Linked DNA regions of Macaca fascicularis. The protein of the gene in region 1 interacts with the protein of each later gene in a biochemical or structural test. Links are inferred from orthologs where the notes say so. Each region holds a gene or a part of one and is shown on either strand. Other genes may lie near its edges. The genes, in order: TMED10 and COPG1.

Region 1 (3,817 bases):
GGTTCAGCTTGTATAGCTCCTCTTATTTTTCTTGGGGAATGTTTTTTTGTTCTGCAGCTCTATATGAGATCAATGAATAGATATACATTCTGGGTTAATGACAAAACCTGGCATTTGGCCATTCACTTAAGAAAGTTAGCTCTGTGCATTAACTGTTGGTTAAATCTTACACCCAGAAGCTGTTCTGCAGTTACCAGTCACACCGTTAACTCTAGCCAACATTTTATAAATGCAAGAAAATGTGCATCTGGTGAGAGAAAACGTAGGTGTATCATCGCGTCTATCACCATATTTTTATGAACCTTAAATATAAACTCAATTTTTACATCCCAATCTTAACAGCAGTTTGTTTTATTTTAAATAACTTTTGTTCATCACACATTTAGTGAAAAATGTAATAAGAAAATGTAAAATAAATTCCTCCTATTCATCCCTTGTTAACTGCTGTTAACATTTCACAAAGAGAAAGAACAAGGACAATGAATTGAACAAAGGAGAGGAAAAAAAGTGGGCCATAGGGAATGTAAATAAATAGGGAGTAAAGAAGCAGATATAGAAACAGAATTATTAGGTGTAACCAGATGTGGTGGCTCACACCTGTAATCCCAGTACTTTGGGAGATCAAGGCGGGTGGATCACTTGAGGTCAGGAGTTCGAGACCAGCCTGGCCAACGTGGTGAAATCTCATCTCTGCTGAACATATAAAAATTAGCCAGGTGTGGTAGCGCACACCTGTAATCCCAGCTACTCAGGAGGCTGAGGTGGGAGAATTTTTTTGAACCTGTGAGGCAGAGGTTGCAGTGAGCCAAGATCACACCACTGTACTCCAGCCTGGGCAACAGAGTGAGACTCCATAAATAAATAAATTAATTAAATTAATAAAAAGAAAGAAAGATAGTTATTAAAGAATTCTCTACGTGGAAACTTTAAGAGCAACTGGTATGTAGAAGTTTTAAGATCTAGAAAGCTGGCCAGGCGTGACGGCTCACGCCTGTAATCTCAGCACTTTGGGAGGCCGAGGCAGGTGGATCACGAGGTCAAGAGATTAAGACCATCCTGGCCAACATGGTGAAACCCCACCTCTACTAAAAATACAAAAAATTAGCTGCGTGTGGTGGCGCATACCTGTAGTCCCAGCTACTTAGGAGGCTGAGGCAGGAGAATCACTTGAACCTGGGAGGCGGAGGTTGCAGTGAGCCAAAATCGTGCCATTGCACTCTAGCCTGGCAACAGAGCGAGACTCTATCTCAAAAAAAAAAAAAAAAAAAAAAAAAAAATCAGGAAAGCTCTGGTGGTGTATCCCATTTTAAAGCAAAGCATAATCTAAGATTGATAAGAAAAAAAACATAGAATAGTGCAATCTTTGGTGTGATAGATGCCTCTAGTTATTGGATACTCTTAAGAGTTTTCTTAGGGATCTAACTTGAGAACAGAAGACAGTTAATTTCTTTCTGACATCCTTCATTCCTCAGCATACAGGGAATTCCTTGGAGATTTCTTTTGATAACTGTGTCATTCTAAAAGAAAAAAAAATGCATAAAAAATTCAGTGCAGTTTTCTCACATCTGAGCTCTGATACTAAACCTTAAAAGTTGTTGTAGGATTTATATGAACAAACCAGAATTCTCTAATTGTGTATTTTGAAGTATTACTTTAATGCTCTAATAACACATGCTCACATTCATATGTACTGTCAAAGGTTTAATGAATTTAGTGGTTTTTCTTCTAAAACCAGGTTTGACCTAATATGACTCACATTTATTATATTAATAATGTTGTTTACTTCTTAGACATGAGTGGAAGGGCAAAGTAAAGTGCTTTACTAAAGTCAAAAATCAGCTGGGCATGGTGGTTCACACTTGTAGTCCCAACACTTTGGGAGGCTGAGGCAGACAGATTGCTTGAGCTTAGGAGTTGGAGACCAGCCTGGGCAACATGGCAAAACCCCATCTCTACAAAAAGTGCAAAAATTAGCTGGGTGTGGCGCTGCATGACTGTGGTCCCAGCTACTCGGGATGCTGAGGCAAGAGGATTGCTTGAGCCCAGGAGGTCGAGCCTGCAGTGAGCCAAGACTATGCCACTGCACTGCAGTCTGGGCAACAGAGTAAGACTCTGTCTCAAAAAAAAAAGTAAAAATCTTGAGACAATAGTATATCTTGCTTTATAGCCTGCGGTTATTATATTACTTGTAAAGAGATTTTAGTCAAAATTAAAGTATAAAAAAAGGTCTGAAATGGAAAGATACAGTCTATAGGGAAAGAAACAAGCCCAAATTTTAAAATATGTTAGGATGATTGATAGGAGAGAATTTAAATCTGGTGAAACTTTAAAAAAGACTCTTCTGTTGCCTTCTTTATGTTCTTGACTGAAGCGATGTTTTCAGAGAGCTGAAAATATTCCATTCTTTTCCAGATTGCAAAAGTTGAGAAGCTCAAACCGTTAGAGGTAGAGCTGCGACGCCTAGAAGACCTTTCAGAATCTATTGTTAATGATTTTGCCTACATGAAGAAGAGAGAAGAGGAGATGCGTGATACCAACGGTGAGGGGGAAGGCGACTCTTACTTCTTAAGTGACCCATAAATGAGACAGTCTCCAAACTTTCAATTCTGGTGTATCCTTTTCTCAGTTTTGCCAAGGCGGGTATATGGAAGGGAAATTGCTTACTTCGCTGCTGTTGTTGCTAAAGGTAAATGAGCCTTGTTAGATTTTCAAGAGAGTAGAAATTGCTACTGTGATAGGCAGTTGACAGCATCCTCAATTAGTCTATACCCATATCAAATTGATAGCAGCAAGCTTTGTTATTTTCAACATTTATATATAGGATAATGAACTTTTTTTTTTTTTTTTTTTTTTTTGAGACGGAGTCTCACTCTGTGGCTCGGGCTGGAGTACGGTGGTGTGATCTTGGCTCACCGCAACCTCCGCCTCCTGGGTTCAAGCGATTCTCCTGCCTCAGCCTCCCAAGTAGCTGGGACTATAGGCGCGTGCCACCACGCCCGGCTAATTTTTCATATTTTTAGTAGAGACAGAGTTAGCCAGGATGGTCTCGATCCCCTGACTTCATGATCCACCTGCTTCAGCCTCCCAAAGTGCTGGGATTACAGGCATGAGCCACCACGCCCAGCCAGGATAATGAACTTAAAAAAAAAAATTATCTGAAATCCTACTATTAGACCTAGGGACAGAGTGAAGTTAATTAATTGCCTTTACATTGCTCCCCTGCCATTGTTTAGCCAGCTGAGGAGGCTCACTCATTATGTTTACAATGTTTTTGTTTTTTTTAGAGTCAACAAACACTCGGGTCCTATACTTCAGCATCTTTTCAATGTTCTGCCTCATTGGACTAGCCACCTGGCAGGTCTTCTACCTACGACGCTTCTTCAAGGCCAAGAAGTTGATTGAGTAATGAATGAGGCATATTCTCCTCCCACCTTGTACCTCAGCCAGCAGAACATCGCTGGGACGTGCCTGGCCTAAGGCATCCTACCAACAGCACCATCAAGGCATGTTGGAGCTTTCTTGCCAGAACTGATCTCTTTTGGTGTGGGAGGACGTGGGGTACCACCTACACCCAACAAATCAATGAGGGACTTTTTAATTTGGTAGGATTTTGACTGGTTTTGCAACAATAGGTCTATTATTAGAGTCACCTATGACAAAAAAATAGGGGTTACCTAGATAATGCCAAAGTCAGCATTTGTCCTGGGTTCCCTTGTGTGATCTGTTTGGAGTATGTTTTCTTTTCTCCCACTTGCTCAGCAGCTTGGGCTTCCATTCTGGTTCTTTTACCAAGATTTTTGTGTGACCATGTTGACTT
Region 2 (4,404 bases), on another chromosome or scaffold:
GCTGACATTCACCATTGTGTCATCCTAGAGTCACAGTTGAGGATGGATGGACCTTCCTTAAGCTGGAAATGACCCTGAGGCAGGAGCTGCTTTAAGACCAAGTGAGCTCCTTGAGAGAGCTGGGTCTGTTTGAGCCCACCCAGAGATGATAGAAAAAAAAAAAAAAAAGAGCTGGGTCGAAGTTGTATTTATATACACTGTAAACATCCACAGGAGTAGGGCCTCAGTGAAAATCTGATGGGAGAACGAATGGGGAACCTTCATGTGGACTCAGTGGGAGTATTATGTGTCAAGTTCAGAGAAGACACAGCTGAAATGGAGACAGAGATTCAGGATCTGTCAAATCCAGAGGACACAGCTGGGGTAGGAGGTTTCTGCTGAACTAGAAACAGCTGCTGCTCCTGAAGAGCTCATCATCCCCTAGAAATGACAGGCATAGGAAGCAGACCTCTGAGAATGCTATGTAATTCCCTGTATGCCAGATCCTGGAAGCACTGACACTAGGCAGGCTTAAAAGAGATGTGATCTCACAGCAGGCAGCTCTAGGATGAGTTAGTAGATTGGTACTTGGGATTAGGGCATTTTCTGTTGAAGGGATACCACTTGCCTGTGGGCACCTCAAGGATAGGTACCTGGTCAAGTTGTTCTGTGTCCCCAGAGTCTAGCACAGTCCTCAGTGCCGAGCAAGCACCTGCAGAAAGAGTTGGCAGGAAGGGATGTGTGGATGAGTTCAGAGCAGAGTGTGTGGATGGGTGCTTGATTTCTATCTCCATCTCTCCAGCTGGAAGATTTGGAAGTTACTGTAGCTGATCACATTCAAAAGGTCATGAAACTGAACTTCGAAGCAGCCTGGGATGAGGTAGGGGATGAATTTGAGAAGGAGGAAACATTCACCTTGTCTACCATCAAGACACTTGAAGGTAAAATCCTGGGAATGCCACCTCTGGCCTACTTGCCGTTCAAGATCTTTGGGTACTGTTGAAGTGCTTATACCTTTTCTCTCCAAGGATCCAGGGCCATGTCTGGGGCACATATGTCAAATGCCATTTCATTAAAAGCCCTTCAGAACATGGGGGAGTGGTGGTGGCACAAAGGGCAGACAAGATGGCTTAACAATATTGGGATTTCTCACTATAGAGGCTGTGGGTAATATTGTGAAGTTCTTGGGAATGCACCCTTGTGAGAGGTCAGACAAAGTGCCGGATAACAAGAATACCCACACGTTGCTTCTGGCTGGTAAGTGGCATTTCCAGGTGGGGAGGGCCTGGATAGCTTACAGCCTGGATGTCCACTGGATCCTGGGCTAAGGACTTAACTGTAAATACGGGGAGTCAAAATTCACAGCATTTAAAATTCGCAAACTATAAAATAATCTGCAGCGAAATGTTTCCACCTTACCTTGGCTGCCAGCCATTGAGATTCCCTTCCAAGAAACGACCAGTGTTACTATTACAAACAATGCCTGTATAACCTTGCAGTTATTTTATTGCTATAAAGGAACACATTTCCTTTTTTTAACTCAAATGTTTATGTACAAATGGTATATTGTCCTGCAATTTGCTTTTCACTTTACGATGCATCTTAAGAGATCTTTCCTGCCAATATGTAGAGCTTCCTCATTCTTTTTCTTTTAATTGTGGTAAAATATACATAAAATTCACCATTTCAGCCATTTTCAAGTGTGTGGTTCAGCGGCATTAAGTACATTCACACTATTGTAAAACTATGACCACTATCCATCTCCAGAACTTTTTTCATCCCAAACTGAATCCTTTTTTTTTTTTTTTTTTTTTTTTTTATAGCTGCTTAGTATTCCATTGTGTGGATGCACCACATATTCTGTGGAACAGCCGCTACTGATGAACATTTAGTTTGATTTCAATCTGTTGCTATTACAGATGTTACAGTAAATAATCGTGTACACACACACACAATTTACTTTGCATGTGTACACTGAGAATATCTGTAGGATAAATTTTCCAAGGCATCACCAGGTCAAAGTGATTTGTGTTTCTCATCTTGATAAATAACTCCAAGTTGCCTTTCATAGAATTGTATACCTTTTTTCCTACACTGTGGACAACACAATATGTTACCACACTTTATGATCTTTGCCAGTCTGTGTGGACAATGATATCTTAGTGTAGTTTTTGTATTTTCATTGAAGTTAAGTATCTTCTCAAATGTTGAGGCATTTGTATTTCCTTTTCTGATCACTGTCTTCATATCCTTTGTCTTATTTTCTACAGGGTTGGCTGAGTGTACCTGCACTCATTCTCCTTCCCAGATTACTTACTAGCAAACTCCAGAAATAGCATTTTATATGTAAATTCTTCTGTATCTTTATGTTTCTCTAAGAGATAATGACCCCTGCCCTTTTTTAAAGGACAATACAATTATCATACCTAAAACAGTTAACAAAAGGAAATGGGATGATTTTTTTTTGGCTAAGTGTTTATAAACAGGGTTGAAAGGAGGCTCTGCTTCAGTACCCTGTCTACAGCTGACAGTTTGTAGCCACATTGAAACAACCCAGTCCCCTGGGTCTTGCAGACACCTGCCCTGTGGTTTTCTCGTGGTGGGGCTGTCCCCTTCATTTGTGCTGTCAGATTCAGCCAACATGCAAGAGCCTATGTGACGTCAGATACGAGCCTTTTATGTCCATCAATTCATTTGAACTTAGCAGAAGCCTGAATATGGTATTATCATCCCCGCCATTTTGTAGTTGAGGATACTGAAGCCCAGAGAGACAGTGACTTTTTTTTTTTTTTTTGAGACGGAGTCTAGCTGTGTCACCCAGGTTGGAGTGCAGTGGCACAATCTCTGCTCACTGCAACCTCCGCCTCCCGGGTTCAAGTGATTCTCCTGCCTCAGCCTCCCGAGTAGCTGGGATTTCAGGCGCCCACCACCATGCCCAGCTAATTTTTGTATTTTTAGTAGAGATGGGGTTTCACTGTGTTGGCCAGGCTGGTCTCAAACTCCTGACCTCATGATCCACCCACCTCGGCCCCCCAAAGTGCTGGAATTACAAGTGTGAGCCACCGTGCCCAGCCGAGAGTCAGTGACTTTCACAGTGAAATCCCTCACTCAGGGATTTCAGCCCAGCTCTCCTGCCCATTTCACTATACCACAGCTGTCTTGATGGGCTGCTGCAAATGCCATCCTTAGCCTGCCCTGTACAATCCCTTCTGCTGTATATACCTGTACTTCTGTCTTCCCTTCTAGGTGTGTTCCGGGGTGGTCATGACATCCTGGTGCGTTCCCGGCTGCTGCTTTTGGACACAGTGACAATGCAGGTGACAGCCAGAAGTTTGGAGGAGCTGCCAGTAGACATCATCTTGGCATCTGTGGGATAAGCAGCCAGCCTGCATAGGACCTTATGCCCTTCCCCCCCAACACTACCTGGAAGTTGTGCCTTCCTCATGAAACTGGCGGAAACCCCTTCCCAAGCTTCTGTATTCAAAAACAATTAGGAATCATTGCAGATTTTTTTTTTTATTCTGCCCTTACCCCCCACCCGGGACTACTTGGGGGTGCCTTTTTTTTTTTTTTTTTTTTTTAATAGGGAATGATTTTAGCTTGTCCTAAATCTTGCTATCCTTCCTTCCAGGAAAGGGACATTGTAAATGAATAAAACATTCTCGACTCCTCTTGAATTTATCCCCCAAGAAACCATCTTATCCCTCTAATAAATCAGCATGTATTTATTGAATGATTGCTACACCTTCCCCTTCAAGGCCTCCCCCAAGAGGCAGAACACGTGCCCTGTCCCCCTTGTACCCACAGCCCTTTGGCTGTTTTAATCCTGTGAGGCAGGACCCTCTCCCCGTCATCGCTGTCCCAGCACCAAGCCCAGGGGTGGGAGCGGTACAGGTTAGTTGAGTGAATCAGCTAACAGGCACTGAGTTCCCACTCCCTCCCACTCGTGCTTCTTCGCAACGCATCCTCCTCTGGTAGTCGATAAACGGAGGCTCCAAAGGGCTTGGGTCCTGTGGCCGTTCCAGCATCAGGTCCTATGTGGAGTGTGCCCTGGGGTTTCTGCTACCTGTTCAGCGAATCAGCATAGGCGAAGAACAGCCCTCTAGAGTATTCTCTGTTGGTTGCAGATAAAGAAATCTCCGGTTTAGGTCCCAAGGGGAGCAGGCTTTTAAACTCAAGCCAGGTTATTTTACCAACTTTGAGAACAAAGTACACCCGTAAGGACTGTTTTAAAAATTTGGGCCTCACCCTTAGAGATTCAGCTGGCGGGCTGGGGTGCGGGGACAGAAAAGGCTCATTCTAGTGTACACCATCGTTTGAGGGCTAAGTGCGCGATTCCTGAAAGTTCTCCAGACTTCCATTTATTCAGTGTTCCTCCATTTTTGCCTCGCACTGTGAGGCGGCTGGCACGACTGTGAAGTAAGG

The links.
Region 2: the proteins of TMED10 (region 1) and COPG1 form a complex in vitro, tested with the Homo sapiens proteins (2 studies listed by BioGRID). The link is inferred for Macaca fascicularis from reciprocal best matches to the Homo sapiens genes TMED10 and COPG1.

Annotation. Positions count from the first base shown.
Region 1 is NC_088381.1:143,084,377-143,088,193, reverse strand, and holds part of TMED10 (transmembrane emp24 domain-containing protein 10), read left to right. Parts: intron 1-2,412; coding exon 2,413-2,539; intron 2,540-3,284; coding exon 3,285-3,406; 3' UTR 3,407-3,817. UniProt on the Homo sapiens protein: Cargo receptor involved in protein vesicular trafficking and quality control in the endoplasmic reticulum (ER) and Golgi.
Region 2 is NC_088376.1:154,147,131-154,151,534, reverse strand, and holds the end of COPG1 (coatomer subunit gamma-1), read left to right. Parts: intron 1-781; coding exon 782-920; intron 921-1,137; coding exon 1,138-1,236; intron 1,237-3,225; coding exon 3,226-3,356; 3' UTR 3,357-3,712; downstream 3,713-4,404. UniProt on the Homo sapiens protein: The coatomer is a cytosolic protein complex that binds to dilysine motifs and reversibly associates with Golgi non-clathrin-coated vesicles, which further mediate biosynthetic protein transport from the ER, via the Golgi up to the trans Golgi network.